2 linked regions of the Rattus norvegicus genome follow. The protein of the gene in region 2 interacts with the protein of the main gene of each other region in a biochemical or structural test. Links are inferred from orthologs where the notes say so. Each region holds a gene or a part of one and is shown on either strand. Other genes may lie near its edges.

The links.
Region 1: the proteins of F5 (region 2) and Pros1 form a complex in vitro, tested with the Homo sapiens proteins (2 studies listed by BioGRID). The link is inferred for Rattus norvegicus from reciprocal best matches to the Homo sapiens genes F5 and PROS1.

What each region holds. Positions count from the first base shown.
Region 1 is NC_086029.1:13,750,861-13,762,019, reverse strand, and holds the end of Pros1 (vitamin K-dependent protein S precursor), read right to left. Parts: intron 10,416-11,159; coding exon 10,190-10,415; intron 5,459-10,189; coding exon 5,298-5,458; 3' UTR 4,162-5,297; downstream 1-4,161. UniProt on the Homo sapiens protein: Anticoagulant plasma protein; it is a cofactor to activated protein C in the degradation of coagulation factors Va and VIIIa. It helps to prevent coagulation and stimulating fibrinolysis.
Region 2 is NC_086031.1:79,084,494-79,095,652, reverse strand, and holds part of F5 (coagulation factor V precursor), read right to left. Parts: intron 10,295-11,159; coding exon 7,576-10,294; intron 6,642-7,575; coding exon 6,467-6,641; intron 1,923-6,466; coding exon 1,686-1,922; intron 1-1,685. UniProt on the Homo sapiens protein: Central regulator of hemostasis. It serves as a critical cofactor for the prothrombinase activity of factor Xa that results in the activation of prothrombin to thrombin.

The sequences.
Region 1 (11,159 bases), on a different chromosome or scaffold from region 2:
ATGTGTGATTGGGTTTTGTTTGTTTGTTTGTTTGTTGTGTTTGTTTTATCTTTTTGAGACAGGTTTTCTCTGAGTAGCTCTGGCTATCTTTGAACTCACTCTTGAGACCAAAGAGGCCTCCAATTCAGAAATGTCCACCTGCCTCTGCCTCTGCCTCTGCCTCTTTAATGATAGGATTAAAGGCACATAAAAATATGCCCCACAGCCAGGCATATTTATTTTTTAAACAGTGACTCGATACTTTGTCAAGGCTGGCCTTGAACTTCTGACAATCTTACTTTTGCCACCCCCTAGTATCTAAAGTCATATACCAACAGACCCTGCACACAAAGTTTCTTTTGACTACTTAGCTTTTATTGTCAACTTGACACAACCTAGAGTCACTTTGAGTAACTCAGTTGAAGAACTGCCTAGTTCAGGTTGGCCTGCAGGCTTGTCTGTGGAGCTCTGTCTTGTTTCCTAACTGATGCAGGCAGGCTAAGCCTACTGTGGGCACCATAATTTCCTGAACAAGTGGTCCTGGACTGTCAAAGAAAGCTAGCTAAGCAGGAGTTTGTGAGAAAGCAAGTAGCATTTCTCCATGGTTCTTGCCTCCAGGTTCCTGATTTGAGTTCCTGCCTTCAATTCCATCAGGAATGGATTGTGACTAACATACTGTAAGCCAAATCATCCTTTCCTCCTCTAAGCTGCTTTTGGCCATGTTGTTTTACCACTGCAATCAAATAAAAATAAGATAAATATCAACACTAAACATTAATTTTTGGTGCATCAGATAGTTTACAGATATTAACAGAAGGTTATTTAAATCATTTATTATTATCAGGGCCATATGTTCAAGGCTTATTCCCCAGTGTCTTAGAAATGTTTTCTATTCTACCACCAAAACATCATGACCAAGAAGCAAGTTGGGGAGGAAAGGGTTTATTCAGCTTACATTTCTACATTGCTCTTCATCACCAAAGGAAGTCAGGACAGGAACTCACACAGGGCAGGAACTCTGAGGCATGAACTGATGAAAAGGTCATGGAAGGTGCTGCTTACTGGCTTGCTTCCCCTGGCTCACTCAGCTTGCTTTCTTATAGAACCCAGGACCACCATCCCAGGGATGGCACCACCCACAATGGGCTGGGCCCTTCCCTCCTTGATCACTAATTGAGAAAATACCCTACAGCCAGTTCTCATGGAGGCATTTCCTCAAGGGAGGCTCCTTTCTCTGGATAAGTCTAGCTTGTGTCAAGTTGACACATAAAACCAATCAGTACACCCAGCCTGCGGCATTATTAGGAGTTGGAAGAATCTGTAGAAAGTGTGACATGGTGGGATGATGCTATGTTATTGACCAGAGTCCTTGGAGAGTGTATTGCCACCACACACGCCCACCCCCTGCTCCTTCTCATCTTTCTCCTAAGGTACTCTCTCACAGGCAAACCCAAAACCTAGAGTCCAAAGAGCATGAACTGAAACCATAAACTAAATTAAAAGCCACACCTTTCTGAGTTGTCACCTGCTTTGTGAAATGAAAACTGACTAACACATCTAAAAAGAACCACACAAGACACTTTGCCCATTTGAGTTGGGTGTCTAACATTCTTTTCATCTCCAAATCTAGCTATCTTTATATCTGTGATTTGCTCCATCTCACAGTGCAGGTGTCCAAAGAAGGACAATGTTTGACAAATTGTGTGCTCCCCACAAATCCATGAATACAGGAGTTTTTTTTTTATTGCCCCCCTAGCTTTTTGCATCTAGAAAGTGCTCAGGATCTGTGTTTGTGTTAGACAAGAGCTGGACGAGAGTACTGAACTTGAGAGGAACAAAAGATTTGAGACAAGTGGCTCAGTTGACTTCTATTATTACATAGCTTAGGAATTTCAGCCCGAGGGAGAAGTTATTTAGCAGCGTTCATCCAAGTCTTCACACAATGACATTTAGATAGGAATGGCTTCCTATCTTCTCTTACAGGGAAACCCTGGGTGGAAAATAAATTATGGTCTGTGATCTCTAGCAGCTACTTGGCCATTAGCTCCACCTCTAAGCCATTAATGCACCATCTCCACAGATCAACATCCTCACTGTGGATAAATTATCGAGGTATTATTACCCTTCTCTACTCTTTCCTTCTCTTTCTCCATTGTCTATTTCTGTTGGGTTTTCTCTCTCTCTCTTTCTTTCTTTCTTTCTTTCTTTCTTTCTTCCCATCCTTTTTTCTTTGCTTTTTACTTTGTGTAGTTGGCACAGAGAGCTTTGTGCTCTGTTCACAGATAAACACTAATGAAACTAGGAATGTTAAACATGCTTCAAAGGAGAAAAGACTGGGAATGGGAATGGTTAACGGCCTCTTGACATCCATACTATCAGTATGGCCAGGCTGGACCAACCTCTCCCAGACTCTTTCTTACCTTAGTCATCCTCTCTAGATTCGTATCTTTGGCATTGTTTCTCAGTCAGTCTACACAATCCATTTTTAAGGGAGATGTCACATGTACTTTACGAACAGGAGCATCAGAGAAGACAGTTGGAAAGACAGGACTGGACTGTAGGGAAATTTAATAGAAATCCACATGTGTCTTCATTCAGTCCACAGCTCACTAAACTTTCATTGGGAATTCATTTCTCCCTCCTTAGTAATCCTCTGCAAAGGTTGATTTCTCTGTTACTGACCTTACCAAACTCAGACTCTCTTAGAATCTCTTGTGCATGAGTCAGCTCCTCTGGAGTAAATACACCATAGTAGAAGTAAGATATTTTTCTCTCCTGTTTTTCAAGACAATCTCTAGTTCAACATTCAATGTACATGAGCGAGATAATGATGCAATTTTCATAGTTCAATATTATCACACTATCTTGGTCATATTAATATGTATCAAAGCCTCACAGGACTCTGACACAGACAAGTTCACCTTACCATTGTACTCTGAAAACACAAGCACAAAATAGGTAGACACTGATACTTTCATAGCCAATCCAATTTTTCAAAGATAAGGTCTCTGGAAATTTGAACATTGCTATATCAGGTAACCTGTGTGACTGACCATCAAAGCAGTCTCCTTGAGGAGGGAAGGACTGATATGAGAGCCCTGACAGAAGCTACACTGCTTTCATTTCCTAAGACAACCTGGAAAAAAAACAACTGAAACTCCAACGACTGCGAATCTGAGAGTTGTTCATCAAGCCCAGATGAGTGTTATTTCCTAGATTCGTGTGTATGTATCGCAAATATGTATATGTATATATATATTATATATATATATATATATATATATATATATATATATATATTATCCTATATTCCTCACTGTACATAGGAAAGTTTTTCCTTCTGATACAAAATCTGGAATTGATCTCCAGCACTGCCTACATGTATAGCATTATTAAATGAGAAGTACAGAATCTCCAAAATGTGATTTATTTGTGCCTTTGTTTTATTAACAGATTTTAACTAATTATGTATAATTTTGTGTTTTGCTATCTCATTTCATGCATGTACAAAATGTATTTTGATCATATTCACTGTTTTATTCCTCAGTGTTGAGTGTGTGTGTGTGTGTGTGTGTGTGTGTGTGTGTGTGTGTGTAGTGCGTGGGGGTCATGCAAATGTGGAGACACAGGGTACCTTTCTTTTTTTGCTTGCCTTCTTAATTTTTGAGATACTATTTCTTACCAGACCTTGAGGTATTTTCTGCTGGATTGGCAGCCACTCAGCCCCTGTAATCTACCTGTTTCTGTTTCACTCCACCAATTCTGTGTGTTGAAATACAGGGAACTACACCTGGCATTTTGTGACTACCAAGGACCCTAATGCAATTTGTTCTCTTGATTGTACAACACCAACTTAATCCCCTCAGACATCATCTTGGTCCCATCCTTCTCTTTTATACCAGCCTAATCAGTAGTCACCTACTATTCTTCATCCTATGTAGCAGGAGAAAAGTTGCACCCCACCACAACCCACACAATGTGCAGCACGTTAATGGTACTCAGGGTGTTTTTACTCTTGCTCTCCTTCCCTTTCTGAGCCCCACTCTACAACCAACATAACCATTCACCAAGGATTTCCAATTTCCAGTCTTTCAGCTGGAGTTCTACTATGCTGTGTGAAGACTTAGACATCTGTTATCTAATTCTAGGCTATGAGTAGTTAAAATGAAGAAACTGCTCATGTATTTTAAAAATATGTATCCTTTTATTATGTTTCATGTGATGCAAAATATCTACAGTAAAATAAAATTCAATTTCTCAGATAGCAATGACGTACCTGATACACACCTGAAATGATCATCAACTCAGGAGCGACAAAGCAGCCTGACACTTGCAATGCACTATCAGCAAATATTTGACAATCTTACCTTCGTGTTTCTTTCATTACAAAGCTGGAACATGTAACATTATCGAACATCTGTCTTGTCATTATCGCTTTGTTAAAAAATCTACTTTTGGTCACATTTTTAACTTCAACAATCCCATTCAAACCACCTATAGTTGTTAAAATCCAATGTGAAGGACAACTATGAATTTACTGATGTATTCACTCTCCTTCCCACCATTAAGAACAGCTGCCTTTCTGACTCTGACCTTATGTGCTCTAAACAGCCTAGGTTGAGTGATGTGCGCGCCCAATGTTCACACCCCCCTTACAGCATAACCTGATGTCTTGGAGAGAAACCAATGCCTTTGAGACAACATTCAGGTGTTGCTCCAGTGAAAATGTGCCCCTGGTCTCTAATTCGGTGAAGGTGTTGGCTCAAGTGTAAAGTCAAGTGAAAGAAAAATGAAGCCTAAACTAGGCGCTCCCCACACCTCGGAATTACTTTAGAATAAAGCTTTGAGACCTTCCTTCCAATTCTCATGCAGTATGCTATCAGCTCTGTCGCTGTCGTGGGCAAAAAGCAACAACAAAAATACAGTGTCGCTCTCCAACTGTTAGCATTTAGTCCCATGAGCTTTTGTTTCGGTTTAACTGATTCGTCTTCTGAGAAAAACAGAACATTTAAATACTAGTTCCATGACGATGAATCTTACCTTTAAAATAAAAAAAAAAAAAAACTAAAGCCGTGTCATTTATAGGAAATAAATTGAAATTTAAATGTTTCATGTGTTTTGTTATTTAATTTCTAGACAGCAGTGAGTACAAGACTTTTCAAAAATGCGACTTATATAACAAAAATCTGAAGGACAAAGTACCACATCATATTTAAACATGCATATAACACATGTAATCCTGCCATTTGGTGATGGAAACATGAACAAGAGCATAATTACAATATGAAAAGAGAGATTAGAAGCCCAGGAAACAGACTTTAGAAGTTCTTCTGGATTTTCCTCACTGACGGACAGGAGTGAGCTCTAATGTCATTATGTTTGGAAATGGCTTCATCCAGATCCAACTGTACCCCGTTGATGTTCACTTCCATGCAGCCGCTGTAAAAAGCATTCACTGGTGTGGCACTGAAGGAAATATCTGTGGAAACAGTGTCTGACGATTAACCCGATACTTCTGCATCTCATTTGTTTACAGTTAAAAGAATTATTCAGACTTCATAAATTCCAAACAAATTCCTACAGGAAAAATTACTAATGTGAATCTATTCAGCAATGTTATGTTGGGCATGGAGGTCAGCGTATGAGTCCTTCTGATTTCATAACTGCTATCATTGCCAACCAAACTAAAGGGAAATGTTCACACTTGAAGAGGAGGAGAGAGTATATGCTTATGATATTCCACATTTACTATAAAATAATATATGTTGGCTTCTTTTTAAATGCGAGCAACATCTCTGAGTGATTTGACCACCTCTTCGACTCGAAATTGTGGGGGCTTAGAAATCCTTTTAGAATGCCATGGCAAACATACCCTTGTATAATTTCTGAAATAAAAACTGGTTTTTCATATTTATCAAGAAATAGTTGCTGGCTGAGCATAAAAGCAAGTCATAATAAGGGACTGACTTTTATGTGATACTATTGTCCCGCAGAACAAAGTTTTGGATTGCTCCTAAGTGAGTCATTTGAGGTCATTGATGCCTTTGGGCTTCGCTGCATTGGAATCCCATTACCAGGGTTTGTCCTAGTTGTCGATTTAGCTTCTTTGTCTCCTTAGAACTACAGTCCAAGACACCTTCCACTCTTTTGGCATTTCCTCCTTATGGATTTGAATTTACAGTGAACATCTCTTGTGCTTCTTTCTCAAAGCATATTATGCCAAAAATATATACCTTAAAATTTCTAAAGACAGTGACAAAATCTGTATCTAGGAGCTAAATGCATATTTTAGGAATCCTCTTCAATCCTGGCTGATGTCCCTGACATTATATATACATTATTTTAACCACAGTGTTATCACTCATTATGACATGGCCCCCAAGAGTATATATAATAACTACATATTATAAACAAAAGTTAGTTTTTAAAAAAATCTTTAAATCAATTTTCTTTTAATTATCATTTATCAAAAGCAATTTAAACATGACTAATTTGTATATAAGTAATTTATTCAAGCAGTGGTGGTGCACAGCTTTAATCCCAGAACTCAGAAGGTGAATGCAGGTAGATCTCTGAGATCAAAGCCAGCCTGGTCTACAGGATGAGTTCCGGTACAGCCAGGACTACACAGAGAAACCCTGTTTTAAAAAACCAAGTTTGGCCGAATGGCTGAGAAGCACCTAAAGAAATGTTCAACATCTTTAGTCATAAGGGAAATGCAAATCAAAACAACCCTGAGATTCCACTTCACACAAGTCAGAATGGCTAAGATCAAAAACTCAGGTGACAATAGATGCTGGCGAGGATGTGGAGAAAGAGGAAAACTCCTCCATTGTTGGTGGGATTGCAAGCTGGTCAAACCACTCGGGAAATCAGTCTGCAGATTCCTCAGAAAAGTGGACATAGTACTACTTGAGAAACCAGCTATACCACTCCTGGGTATATACCCAAAAGATGCTCCAACAGGTAACAAAGACACATGCTCCACTATGTTCATAGCAGCCTTATTTATAATACCCAGAAGCTGGAAAGAATTCAGATGTCCCTCAACAAAGGAATGGATACAGAAAATGTGGTATATTTACACAGTGGAGTACTACTCAGCTATCAAAAACAATGGCTTTATGAAATTCATAGGCAAATGGATTGAACTAGAAAATATCATCCTGAGTGAGGTAACCCAATCACAAAAAGGCACACATGGCATGTACTCACTGATAAGTGAATATTAACCCCTAAAGTTTGAATTACCCAAGATACAATCCACAGACCACATGAAGCTCAAGAAAGACCACCAAAGTGAGGATGCTTCAGTCCTTCTTAGAAGGGGGAACAAAATTATTCATAGGAGGAAATATGGAGATGAAGTTTGGAGCAGAGACTGAAGGAAAGGCCATCCAGAGACTGCCCTACCTGGGGATCCAGCCCATATACATACAACCACCAAGTCCAGACAATATTGCTGAGGCTAAGAAGTGCATGCTGACAGGAGCCTGATATAACTGTCTCCAGAGAGGTTCTGCCAGAGCCTGACAAATATAGAGACGGATGCTCATAGCCAACCATTGAACTGAAAATGGTGTCCCCAATGGAGGAGTTAGAGAAAGGATTGAAGGAACTGAAGGGGTTTGCAACCCCATAAGAACAAGGATGCCAGCCAACCAGAGCTCCCAGGGACTAAGCCACTACCCAAAGACTATACATGGACTGACCCTGGACTCCAACTGCATAGGTAGCAATGAATAGCCTAATTAGGGCACCAGTGGAATGGGAAGCCCTTGGTCCTGCCAAGACTGAACCCCCAGTGAACATGATTGTTGGGGGGAAGGCAGTAATGGGGGGAGGATGGGGAGGGGAACACCCAAATAAAAGGGGAGGGGGGGGCTAGGGGGATGTTGGCCTGGAAACTGGGAGAGGGAATAACAATTGAAATGTAAATAAGAAATACCCAATTTAATAAAGATGGAGAAAAAATTAAAAAAAGAAAGAAAAACCAAGTTTTGAAAAAGAAGAAGAAATAACATATTTGTTTGATAGTTTATATTCTAAAATATTTCAATTTTAGTTTCCTCTCAAGTTTGCCTCAATCTTTCTTTAAATTCAACTACTGTGTTATTAAAAATTTTGTATTTTTATATCTTTTCAATAAATTCATTGTTTATTTGATTTCCTAAAAATGCATTCAGCTAATTTGTGAGTAACTCTCAATACAGCCTCAGTTCACCCAATTTCACTGCTGTCATGCTTCCTAATAACTAACCAGACTGGTAACTTGGACTCTATATCCCTTTTCTACCTGTAACGTTTGAAACCCCTTTCCTTCCATGCCCCAAAATACTAGAAAGGAGGTCCACATATGTGGCATTAACCTTGAGCATTTAGAGTGTAAAAAATCAAGGTTGTTAAGATTCCCAACTCAGAATTCTCCAAAAAAGAGTAATCTATGAGCAGGACTGAAAGAAAAAAAATGATCCTAAATATCTTTGTGCCCTTTTTTTTTTATTTGACATTTAAAGTAACATGTTGATGCTAATGTCAGAGGTCCAATATTAAGTTAAACATGAACCTGAGTTTCCTCCAATTTTCCCCACTTTGAAAATGTAATCCTATCACAAAACTATTAATGTCAGAGTTATCCTTTGCTTACCTGTATTCTGGTTATGAAATTATACTGATTTTACTTCTAGATCTCTATTGGATTCACTTGATTCAATGAAGAATGCTACTACCACCCTAGTCCAAAGCTTCCTTTTTGCCAGGTGAACCTTCCATATCACTATTATGAACAATAAAATAATTGAAATATTGGATAGGTTTGGCCCCTATAGACTCATGTTTTGAATGTTTGGCCTGTAGGGAGTGACACTATTAGAAGGTGTGTCTTTGTTAGAATAAGTATGGCCTTTCTGGAGAAAGTGTGTCATTGTGGGGTTGGGCATTGAAGTCCTATGCTTAAGCTCTGCTCGTGGCAGAAAAGACCCTTCCTCCTAGATGGCTGTGGAATACTCCCCTCCTGGCTACCTTCTGTTCAAGATGTTGAACTCTCAGCAACTTCTCCAGCTCCATATCTGCCTACACACTGCCATGTTTCCTGTACCAGACCCAATTAAATGTTGTCATTTATAAGAGTTGCCTTGGTCATGGTGTCTCTTCCCAGCAACGAAACAGAAACTAAGACAAGGACCCTGTATGGTATGAAGACTACCATGCACTGGTAGAGGTACTGTGATGTTGACAATATTATCACTATGTCCTCAGGCTATCCTATAGCCCCTGAACTCAATTGAATTATACATACTTAGGCTTTCCCCACTTGGAATTATTCATCCAGAATTAAAATTTGAAATTATAATATTTATATGCCCTAACTTGTTTTAAACACTGTAATGACACTCACGTCTTCCACAACAAAACCCTAACTCAAGTCTGTAAGTCACCCATTTAGCCATTTTATAGACTCATCCTGCACTACCTCCTGTCTCAGATTGCCTTAGTCATCCTCTCATATTCATCTATGCACACACACTGACCATTCTACCTATATACACTGCAGTATCCACCCATCTCTACCACCTAGTTAAGTTTACTTAAGTCTTTAAATGCCAGAGAGATAGATAAATTGATAGATGATCTTTTATTCAGAGAGATTGTTCCTGGCCCTGTCCTCAACACCAAGTCAAGTCCTTATTTTTATGCTCTAAACTTGATTTGTAATTACTTGCTTTCATAGAATTCATTATAATTTTAATTATTTTGAAACCTCTTTACTGAGTTGCTGCATGTCTACCTCCTCAACTAAACTTTAAAAGCCCCAGTTGCAGCAACTATAACTTTTTGCTTATTTGGGTTTATGCTCTTAATGGATGAATTAAATGTAGAGTAAACAAACATACTAGTGATGAATAAACTCAATAAGTGTTTACCTTACAACATTATCATGAGACTGGGATTAAATGACATAAAGTGTAAGGGATATTTCAAGTTTGTCTTCATTTTTCAATGCCTTGTTACTAAAATTCCAGGTTTAAGATATTATTGATTTGACCAGGCATAGTAGTATATGTCTTTAATCCCAGCACTCATGAAGCAGAGGTAGGTGGATCTCTGAGTTCAAAAGGCCAGTCTCATCTACATAGTGAGTTCCAGGACAGCCAGAACTATGAACAAGATATTTCATTCAAAACATGCTTGTAGAACTGAAGAAAAATACCTGGAACGCCACCCAGGTAAGTGGCCACGGTTCCTTTCATTGTTTTGTCCAAGATGGCGAGTTGCCTTTGGAGATCTTTAGAGTAAATGACGTCTTTTCTAACTGGGGTCCACAGTTCCAGTCCATTTCTGTTAATGTTACATTTCAGCTGGGATGGCTGTTCCGAGCACAGAGTTATGGCTTCTAAGTGAGCTGCTACTGAATTTTCAACAAATACCAGAATGTCCTAAACAGAAGAGCAAAGACTTCATATAAACAACACTGAAGGCAAAGCCACTTAGGGATGACTTTGTGTTTTGGAAACTCCAACCTAAATTTCAACAAAAGAAAAAAATGATAGAGACTCTACATTTAAATGTAAAGTTGCTTAAATTTTAATAATTAATTTTCAAGCATCAATTTGTTTTACAAGCTCTGTGTATAAGACATAATATATGCTGAATTCTGAAGATTCAATTCCATCATCTGAGTTGGGTGGCCAAACAGAAGAAAGTAACATGATGTGCCTAAGTCATACTTAGGTCTCCAAGTCTCCCTAATTTCAAAAGTTACATATGAAAAAGGTAGAGTGAACTTTGTGTTGAGGAAATTGGAGTTCTTTAGTACACATTGAAGGGTCATCCAAGTTATCACACAGACCAAGGACAATGTGATGAAAGAGGCCTGAGAAAGAGACCTGCATTATGAGCCTCACTTACAGTAGGAAGCTGAAGTCTCAAAAAAGAGAAGTGTTTTATTTTGCTGGAACTTTCAAAATATTCGACTTGTTGGGAGTGACCTCTGTTGCTAACTTAAGATGGTGAAGAGGAAATTAAACCAAAATAGAGAATACTATGATGCTTCCCATACAGTAAATGTAGTCTAAAATGGCCTCTTAGGTTAAGATATTTATGGTGAGAGGGAAAAGACTATACTTCTTGACTGCAGATTACTTAAGGGAATCTTTAACTTTACAAATACTCATATCCTT
Region 2 (11,159 bases):
CTCTGTCCCTCCCCCCTCTGTTTCTCTCTCTCTCACTAAATATGCTAAAAAGCACATGTGCATTTACTACATGTAGCATGTGGTTTTGAACACTGTATATATTACGGAATGATAAGTGAAGACCCTTAAATTTCCAGTGAACACCTTCTAAAAGCTCAAAAAGAACGTCAAACCATCCGGCTGTGCCCAGAGGGCTGGGTATGTGTGTGGTACAATAAGTGGGAAATTGCTTCCTCCATGACAGAGTGGTGCAGGAGTCAGGTGGCCAGGCCTTGTTCCCCTCAGCCTTGCCTGAGACTAACTGAGCCTTGCTGTGTTGTGGTACAGATGAGTCATTACAACACACCCACCTGGCTGCCCTGGGTTTCATGATGGGTGCCTTTCCCCGGGAGCATGGTGTTCAGGGAGGTCCCACATGGTCAGAGACCAGCATAGTTTTTCTTGTGGCACTAAGTTCAGGAGGCTCCTTGGGAACTTTCATAAGAGGTGGGGTCAACACTAGGCCTGTGATGTCCTTGACCCCTTCACTTGCTTCCACAAAGTATACATCTTTGACTTCCCCGACCCTGGTAGAAATCAGCCCAAACCACTGGTCCAGGGACAAAAGGGAACCCCAGATACCTTGTCTTAGCAAAGAAATCTGTGTTTGAGGGCAAACTGGAACCGCGGCTGCCCTTTGCCAGGTAGAGGGCTCTGTGTTTTGTTTGGCTGTGAACCTGGGAAGAGTCCTCAGCCACCTCTTGTCTGGGTTTCTTACTGTGCAAAGGTCTGTCTCTCTGTCTCACGGTCAAGGAGAAAGAAGGCAGCTGAGCGTGCAGAAGGCACTGCATGGATGCTGGCATCCCTCTGGCTCTCCTAGGTGCCCAAGGCCAGCCAAGAGGACAGGGGCTTGGCACAGCTTACCACGGTCAGCACAGTTCATCTAGAGAAGCCAGTGACTCCTACCTTCCTGTGGGAGCTGTTCCGGGTGGAATGTGCCTGGATTATTTTTCTGGGAACACAGCAGTCTACTCCCTGTGTCCTTATTTAACTCAGAATGGGGTTGACTTATTATCAAAATACAAAAAAAAATTCTTTATTAGCAAAGGGTATTCATTAAGTAACAAATTGAATCTCCTCCTGGCTTAATTGGAGCAGGGAAAAACATTGCTCCTTAAACTCCCAAAGCCAGCCTGTGATCTGTGCCCACACGGTTGGCTCAATACTTTCCTTGTCTCCTGACTCCCTGCAGTCTCCAAAAGCCTGACTTAAGACTAAACTACTTTCAAATTGTTAAAGAGCACGTTTCTCTGTGTACACACCTCATTTATGCAATCCCCATAACATCCGCGGATGAACGCTTTTCTCTGTGCCATTTCTGATGAACTGTCGGGAGAATCTGAGGCCATGGTAGGCACACTGTGGATGGTAGCCCTTTCTTGTGCCCCATAACGAGCAGGAGAGGCTCTTTTTTTGGTCATGGGAGGTGTTAGGTTTCAAGACAGGGTTTCCCTGTGTAGCCCTGGCTGTCCTGAAAATCACTCTGTAGACCAGGCTGTCTTCAAACTCACATCCACCTGCCTCTGCCTCCTGAGTGCTGAGATTAAAGGCATGTGTCCCCACCGCACACCTCACAGGAGAGACTTTTAACAAGAAAAGGTGAACTGGGGCTATATGATGAGGGAGAGGTCAGAACTGAAACCTACCACATCCACTGCAGAATAGTAGACCCAAGCCCGGCAGGCAGAACCGGGGTTCTCTGGTCCCGCGCGCTCAGTGGCATGCCATACATATGTGTAACTGCTATTGGGCTGGACAGCATCATCTTCCTGAAACCATTTAGGAGAGTCATCTTCGTAATTCTTTCCCTCTGAGGACTTTTCATAGGAAAGTCCATGGGCATGAAGAGAATATGGTCTGGATGCTAAATTTTTAAATCGAACCTAGAGAGAGAGAGAGAGAGAGAGAGAAGAGTGACCTACAAATGTATTAACATAGCAAGCAACACCAAACTAAAACCACAACGATACAGGCTGTGACAGGCAGTTACGATATCAGAGCTAGGGTATACTGGGTGCCTATAATTGCAACCTAATTAATGCATATTATTTGATCTATTTTACCAATGATCACATGAGTTAGGCCCTGACCAACTTACCTTCAAAACACAAAAATGTGCTCTTAGGCTCAAGCTACAGTTCAATCCTAAGTTACTTCTCTAATGACTTGAACTGTCTGTTCCAGACTCATGTGTTGAGAGCTTGTTTGGGACTTCAGGATAGTGATTATACCATGAGGGCTCTGGCCAACAGATAAATAGGATGGCAGATTCATAATTTGATTATATTATTGGAAGGTGGTGAAAACCAGGAGGTTGAACCTAGGTAGGAAGAGGCTCGTTGGGGCACACTCTTGACATATCTATCATCTGCCTGGTCCCTTCTTTTTCTTGTCTGCTTCCAGGACTCCACAGCTACATTTCGCCACATGCCTCCTACCATGATACTCTGTGCCTTAACCCAGTCCCACAGAGATGGTGGGCAGGTAACTATAAACTGAAAGCACTCAATCCCCTAAGCCAAAAGAAATCTTACCGTTTAAAATCGTTTCCCCTGTATATTTTGTCACAGCAACAAAACCTAACGTATCCACAAGTGAGATTTGAACCTGAATAAAGCATGGCTCTTGATCGTAATAAGCTTTTGTATTACTAGTGAAGAGAGAGACGTGAGTGAACCCAAAGCACGAATCTGGATATAACAGATGCTGTGCATAGAGTGTAAATGGGTTTGGGAGGGTGCTGCCTTGGAAACACAGCTGAATGTTTAGGAGAATTTGGAAGAACGATGGAAAGGTTCTTAAGAAAAATGGGATTGGCCCTTGTAAAACGAACAAATCAGAACATGGTCATTTTAGATTCCCAGAAGAGCAGAAAGATGTCTGCAGGGAAAGCCTGTCTGTGGCTAGGTTGGGAAATGCACAGATAGACTAAGCCCCTGGTGACAAATGAGGTTAGAAAATGACAGCTGAGACTAGGCATAGAGTCATCAGGCTCATGGGGGAATCTTCTGGTCATTTTCCTCTGTAATTTCTAGTGACCAATCACTTGACAGAAAGCTCCGTATGTTTTCAGGGGATGTATAGAACTATTAAGAGTCCTATTACTGTTTTGTCCCCCCCCCCCAAACCATGTGTTGACAATGGCTTAGTTACCAGCCTGTGACACTTTTGGGAGGTAAAACCTTTAGCATGTGAGGCCATGTGCTTAATAAAAGAAGACAGGGGAGATCAGCCACGACAGAGAGAAAATGGAAGCTGATGTAAAGATTCCACTCTGTGTATTTACAATTTGCAGAGTGTGCCTACTTGGATTCCTGGTCTCAAGGACTTTCAGCTGGATCCAGTCAGGACACAGCGGCTACAGCATTTGCTTCATTTTCCCTAACCCATACCCTTAAGGATATCTCAACGCCCATGTACAGCTTGAAGAAGTTATGGAGGAGTCATCACTCCAATTCCCTGGACTTTTGGGGGGGGCTGAAAGCAGTTATTCTAAAGTTGTCTTTATTAGGAATTTAAAATTGGTTGTACTTTAACAGAGAGGAATTAGCAAGATTGAATTGTACAGTCATAATCTCATTTGGTAACTAAGCTAAAATCACATCTTTGCTTTGGTATAGAATTTATTCATCAAAAAAGTTTAAAAGTACAAGGTTTAGAGCCAGTCCTTCTGTGATGTCATTACAAACTTCTGAGTTGATTACACATGTGAGTTAAGGGCCAAATAGCAAATTCATGGCTCTGACTTTGTGAGAGTACTTTCAAGATAATATTAAGATATAAAGACAACAGTCCAGATTGTCTTATATAGATGGTTTTCAAAAATGTCAGAAATCCACAAAATTTGAGACTTAAAGTTATTTATCTTTTGTTGAGACGTAGCTGCTCCTAACAGTTCCCCTTTGGCAGATTTAATGAAGAATTTGCACATCTCTATCTCCAGGTGAGGCAATACTTTGTGGCTAGGAAGCCATTGAACAAAACTGCCTATTTCATCTGCAGACTAATGCTGTCCAGAAAAGGACACATTATGCAGAATAGTTGACTGATAAGCTCTGCCAAGACAAGGTGATCAACCCTTCAAAACTCAGCATTTCAAGAGTCTGTCAGTTGATTTGGGGCCAGAAGGACAAAGACTTGCACTCACATGTTGCTAACAGAGGACTGTGCTAGTGGAGATTTGTCTCTACAACCTCTCAGTTCTGCAAGCTGTGTTAGACTTTCTATGTGTATAGATATTTGGTCATTCAAAGATTTCTGATGTGGTTGAAAACTGGTAGTCTTGTAGACAACCCAAGCTGTTTAGCATTGAGAAGGATAATACATTTGAAAGGGTGGTTTTTCAGATGGCATACGATCTCAAACCAAGATATAAGTCAGGTATAGAATTATAGTCTTTTAGGATAGGTGACAAGGTGCTTTAGTTAATGGATAAAATTGATGGGCTGGGTGTTGAGTGTGTTTTATAAATTGTAGAATGGTAATAATTGTACTCAATTTTCATATAAGTGAAAAGGCCTTTTAACTGGATAAAAAGGGGGAGGTGTTGTGATTTGCCCTGGAGTTATCTATATCTTGATGCTGATTCCATTGCTCAAGGACGGCTGCCTAGTCACGTACTCAGGTCTCAGGTGACTTCACCCCTTCTCCCCATTTAATTTGTAAAATACAGGTGAGGGCAGGTACAGGTTAGAAGGAGGCCTGTCATTGGATGAGAAGGAAGGATAGGCAGGAGAAAAGTTTGAAGGAAGAGGAGGAGACTGGAACAGAAAGAGGAGACAGGAGGGACAGAGAGGTTAATCACGGCAGAGAGAAAAATGGAAGCTGACGTAAAGATTCCACTCTATGTATTTACAGGTTGTTATTAATGTTCTTAAAGGATGGATGTGTACTGGGCTTTGTATGTTAAGGTGGGCAATTATATCTTATCAATTGGGTCAAAGAAAGAAAGAAAGGAAGAAAGAAAGAAAGAAAGGAATAAAAAAAAGAAAGAAAGAAAGAAAGAAAGAAGGAAAGAAAGAAAGAAAGAAAGAAAGAAAGAAAGAAAGAAAGAAAGAAAGAAGACAGGCTACCTGGAGCATGCCCTGAAGCAATCTCAGGGCAGTGGCACATCCCTTTCTTTCTCTTTAAGTTCTAGCCACCATGAGGTAAGCAGCCATCTTGTCCAGCCTCAGTGGAGGACCCAAAGTAAAGGAGTCAAGCAATCATGGATGAAATCATGGGATAAAAGTTTTTCCTCCTTTGGGTTATCTTGAGTTTTACCACAGCAACAGAAAGCTGACTAAAACAGATTCCCATTATCTTTTATGATTGATTGGTCTTGATGTGTTGGAGTTCAAGGACAGGGTCTTGCGTATCACATGCTGAGTGGTTACTCTTTACCTACTGAGTCATCTCCCCCACCCTCTGTGTGCCCTTTGGAAAAGAGCAAATGGCCATTGACAATTTGGCAAATATTCACACCAATAAAATGTTATGTCTTTGGACACAGAATGGTTTACTTTAGATCCACAGCATTTTCTCGTGTGTTTTGTTTGTTTATTGTTATTATTATTAATTTGTTTTGTTTGATATGTGAGAGGCGAGGAAGTACGGGGGAGCTAAACTCTGTTACAATGTAACAGGGTAAAGGTTTCTCCATCTTGTCTCAGCTGAAGTCATCTTTGGTTTCTAAGGCATACCCTGAAAAGTCATGTGGGAAAGCATCCAACACTGTTGTAGAAACCCAGCTAACTGCATGTGCTTGGCTTCTGTTAAACTGCTTGCTTGCTTCCTTCTGCAACTGCCAATCAGGATGTAGCTTTTCTATGCTCTTTGTCTTTAACAACTCCCTAAAATATGCATTCTGCGGGGCTGCTCTCTGAAAGTGTTTCTCACCAGGCAGTCGCTAGCTTGCTTAATAAAGACTCCCAATTTGAATTCTGGCTGCCCAGATACCCTACAACAATAAAAATAAGCTACTGTCTGGGAACTAGATACAGGATTTTGAAAGCAATCAATGACTAAATCTGGTAAGATACTTAAGAAACTTGCTCACTCATTTATGGTGGAGAGACATCTTTTCTCTGATTCCTAGTTTCCTTTTCATTTATCTTGTCTCTTAAGAAAGTATTGGGACATATTTATAAATCAATGCTATTGCCATCCCTACTTCAGCCATTTTCCAGGTTAGTTCAAGACAGGCTGGCTTCAGCTAGAAATCTCAGTGCTATTTCTTCCAGATTAAATCATTTTCACTGTTAAGAAGGGTAAGATCTTTTCTGTAGTTCAAAAATTGTCAAATAGCCAGGCTGTCTTTGTGAGGAAAGAATGCTGTTATTTGTTAATTCTGGGAAGCCAATCACTTCCCAGGTTGCTGATACCTTAGCAATGTTTTGGTGCTTGTGGTAAGTTTCCTGAGGATCTAGGAGGTTCACATGAGACTTACTTGGATCACATCATCCACTTCAGCACGTATTACAGGGCCAAGAATGCCAAGGTGCTCCTCATATTCCCCCTGAGGATCACGGCTTGTGAAAGTACTATCAAGGTATTTTCTGAAAACAACTTTCTTGTATGTGGTGTCCTTTGGAGTGTTGTCTGTTTCTTCATTGTCCATTTCACTAAAATGACAGCAATAGTATCCATTTAAAAGAAGAAATAGTTCAATTGTTAAGGGTATCCAAGTTTGGTTCCCAGCACCTACTTTGGGACGCTTACAACCACTTGTAACTCCAGTTCTAGTTATTAATATATATTAATATATAACATAAAATAAATATATAATATAATATAATATAATATAATATAATATAATATAATATAATGGATGTTCTGGCATTTGAGGGTGCCAGGCACACACATGGCTCACATACATACATGCCGGTATCCAAAATACATATAAAATAAAAATTAAAAAATTGAAAAGAACTTAAGAAATAATCTGGTAACTAGCATAGAATATTTAATGACCATTCCATCTATGAGCTAGTAAATATATGTAATTGAAACACAGGTGATTACATATATCCTAATTCCCTGCTCAAATATATTTTCTTAGGTAAGACTTCCTAGGATCTTTTGGGCTATGTCAAATCTCATTTATTAAACTTACATAGTATTACTATAGTCTAGACAGCAAATTCCTATAATAGTCCTATAGTATAGTATTTCTACAGTATGTATAAAAAGTCTATGGATAAGTGTCCTTTACCTTAAGAGTGGACATTCTGAGTTTTGATTTTGCTAAAGCATAATTATCCCTAAGTTTTTAGACACTGGTCTGAGCAAGGATTCTCATGATAGGATCCTCAAGATACAGGTAACAAAATATAAATGGACAGATGGGATACCACAGACTTCCATAGTAATGGCTCTTGTTTTGCTTGGGTGTCACCTAAAATGTAGAAGCTAATATTGGAAATGACAAAGGAACTATCACTGGAGACTCAGATTATATGAAGTATCATTTGTTCAAAATTATCCCCAAAGAAATGTAGGTGATTTTCATAGCAGTGGTGACAAAGAATGAGAGTGTAAAGAGAAAACTAGTCAAACCTTGGTGCAAATTTTGAATAATCCCAGGATATTTCTTCAGCAGCAATATAGTAGAATTTTTTGTTCCCACCGAAGCTACGGAGATACCATGCTGCAATAGTGTCAGGGTTTCTGGAGGAGTTGACATTTGCCCTGGTGTCTGTTTTGTAGGGGTCATTGTAGGTTACATAGTCATCCTCAGGATAATCTTCGTCAATGCTCTCTAGCTCCTCACTTGGAATCATCTCAACATCGTCTCCATCAACTCTACTGAGACCTACTACAACAAGGGGGTTAAATGTCTTTGACAAAGAAGTGTCATTAGGTGTGGGAGATAGTAAAGGAGGCTGCATGTGAATGAGGTCTGGATGAGGAAGAGTCTGATTCAGTTCTGGAAGAGGTGAAGACTGACCAGAATCTGGGGGGTAGGATGCTTGACCAGGGTCTGCAGAGGATGTTTTGTGCCTGTGATTAAGAGCAGGGCTTGTCTGGATGAGGTCTGGAGAGAGGGTCACCTGATCAATGTCTGGGGATAGTATTATCTCATTAAAATCTGGTGAGAGGGTCAAGAGGCTGAGGTCTGGGGAAAGGGTAACTTGACTGTTGTCTGAAGAGAGGGGCATCTTATCCAAGTCTGGGGAAATGACTGTCTGACCAAATTTCGGAGAGAGAGTCAGTAGGCTAAGGTCAGTGGAGGAGGTCTCCCAGCTTTGGTCTGAGGAGATGGGTACCTGACCTGGGTCTAGGAAGTAAGTCTTCTGCTTGTCATCTAGAGAAAGGAGCACCTGACCTAGGTCTGGGGAAGTCTTCTGGTTGTCATCTGGGGTAAGGGGCACCTGACCCAGGTCTGGGGAGGAGGTCTCTTGGTTTTCATCTGGAGAAAGGGTCACCTGACCCAGGTCTTGGGAGGAGGTCTCCTGGATGTCATCTGGAGAAAGGGTCACCTGACCCAGGTCTTGGGAGGAGGTCTCTTGGTTTTCATTTGGAGAAAGGGTCACCTGACCCAGGTCTTGGGAGGAGGTCTCTTGGTTTTCATCTGGAGAAAGGGTCACCTGACCCAGGTCTTGGGAGGAGGTCTTCTGGATGTCATCTGGAGAAAGGAACAACTGATCCAGGTCTGGGTAAATAATTGTTTGATCCAATTCTGGAGAGATGGTAAAGAGATTTAAGTCTGAGGAAGGGATTGCTTGGCCATCATCTGAAGTGAGAGGTGACTTTTGACTTTGGTCTGGAAAGAAAGATGTTTGACTAATGTCATCAGAATAAAATTCATGGCTTAGGTCATAATCGATCCCTTGACTGGGCTCTGGAGGAGAGGATCTGTAGCTAGGATCTGTGGTAGAGTGTGTTTGATTAGGATCTTGGGTAGGAAATGTTGGAGAGTGTTCCTCTGGTGGCACTGACTGAAAAAGGTCTAAAGAAGAGCTCATCTGCTCAGTATCATTTGAAGGGTTCTGATTATAGTCAGGAAGTGACCTGTCAGTACTCACTGGAGGGGAGGTCTGATTCAGATCTGTGGAAAGAGCTGTTTCATTGGATTTGTGGAGTAGTAATGAATGATTGAGTAGTCTTCTATCTAAAAGTGGAGGATGGTCTTCTCTTCTCGGATGGTAAAAGCCCCTTGGAGACAGAGGACTGTGTAGTGCAAACTTCCTGTTCTTCTTCTTCTTCCGTGTCCTGATGAACAACTGTCTTTTCTTAAAGTCACCGCTTTCCTCCTCCTGTCTTACATGTGGAGATTTATGCCTAAATCTAGAAAATGTTGGGAGGTTACTTGGCTTCCCTGTCGTGTTTATGCGAGAGGTGCTAGCTCCCCAAGGCGTTGAGATATTCTGATTTTGAGGACTGTTTGTCAGCTTATCAATATCTGTGTTTTCACCATTTGCTGGTATTATTTCATAACTACCCTTTTCAGAAGCCATATGCCACTGTCTGTTCAAAAGTTTGGATGCGACCTTTTGTTTTAAGAGTAACAAATCACTAGGAATGTCCTCCTCAGACTTCATTCTGGAAGAAGTATTCTTTGGATTTGAATGCCTCCCAGTTTTTCCGGCTGGAGCTTTCATCCAGGAGAACCTGTGCTTCATCCTGTGGGGTCTTCCTGTCTTGATTGTTTTAGGTTTAGTCTGTTCTCGACTCCCTGATCCTTTTGCACCAAGAGGAAGTAGGTATACCACTGTGATGTTCGACTGTGGGTCTTCCATATCATTTTCATAATATGAGCTGGAATGATATTCTGTTGAAGGGTTGAGGACGGAGTTCTTACCTAAGCCAGTAAGGTTTCCAAGTAGGATACCAGCTATGGTGGCTCCTGAGCCAGAAAGTGTTCTTTGAGAGTCGTTGAGGTTATTATTGGTGATCTTACTAAGGTTTCTTGAGGATTTTGAGTCAACAACTCCGTCTGTGCTTAGAGATATGAATTCAGAGCTGTTTTCTAGAGCGAGAGCAGTGAGATTGAACTCGTCTTCCTTCGGATTCAACAATGACTTTCTGAATGACCTAATTCCTAGTGTTGACGCCAGTTCGTACTGGTAATCATCATCTTCGTTTTCTATGCCAAAGTCATTTTCCACAGAATCATGAATTTTCCGAGTTGTCATGGATGTAGGTTCAAGAGGTTGATAAATCTCATATGAGTCTTCATCGTCATCATCATTCCGGTTACACTTAACATCCCTGAATCTCAATCTTAGGTTTCTGCGTCTTGGATTGGAACTCATGGTGGTCAACATCCAAGTTCCTTCATAAAAGACAGAGAAGAGAAGGCTGAAAGCTCACGAAAAGTTACTGAAACAGGAGGATCTGTTGGGGAAAAAAATTTCTAGTGAATGGTGAGTTACTGAGTCATGGTGACATAAAAAGAAAAAACCAGGAATAAGATATTTAGGAAGTTTTAAAAAAACGTAACTTGACTTTGTTTTGGAATCTAATCACAAGGTCAATGTACTTGTAGGCTAGGGTAGTTATGATCTGTGGAAATTAAGGAGAAAAATAGACCTTCAGTTTGGATTTTTTTTTCTTTTTTTCGGAGCTGGGGACCGAACCCAGGGCCTTGCGCTTCCTAGGTAAGCGCTCTACCACTGAGCTAAATCCCCAGCCCCCAGTTTGGATTTTTTTAAGAGTCACTTTTAGAATATATCAAGAAAAAGGGTGCAGGGATTGATGATAAAATGGACCTTGAAAATCATTAATATCTTCTTAGTTGTACATTTTGTCTAAGACTTGGAGTTTGGGAGATGATGAGATTGTTTCTTCCCCCCCACCCAAAAAAAAAAAAAAGGATATTTAGGTATTTCTAGGAAATGATGTATGTGAGGACAAAGTAAGTTCGAGTCACATTGAAAGTGAATTACTGACACACTAAGGATGACCTGGGACATGTCCAGTGGGAGCCATGTGTGGAGTGCTAGGCATATCTTTTTGCATATCTTACAGCTAGGAGCTGATGAAACTCTGTAAAGCACTGTTCTGCTTTTAGGATGAGTGACTTAAAGCTTAGTGAGGGTGAGTAAGCTGTCTCAAGTTACAAAAACACCAAGTGGCAGAGCATGGTTTGAACTTGGGTCTTATATGCCGATGTGGTCTCTGAGACAGCCTCTAAGGCT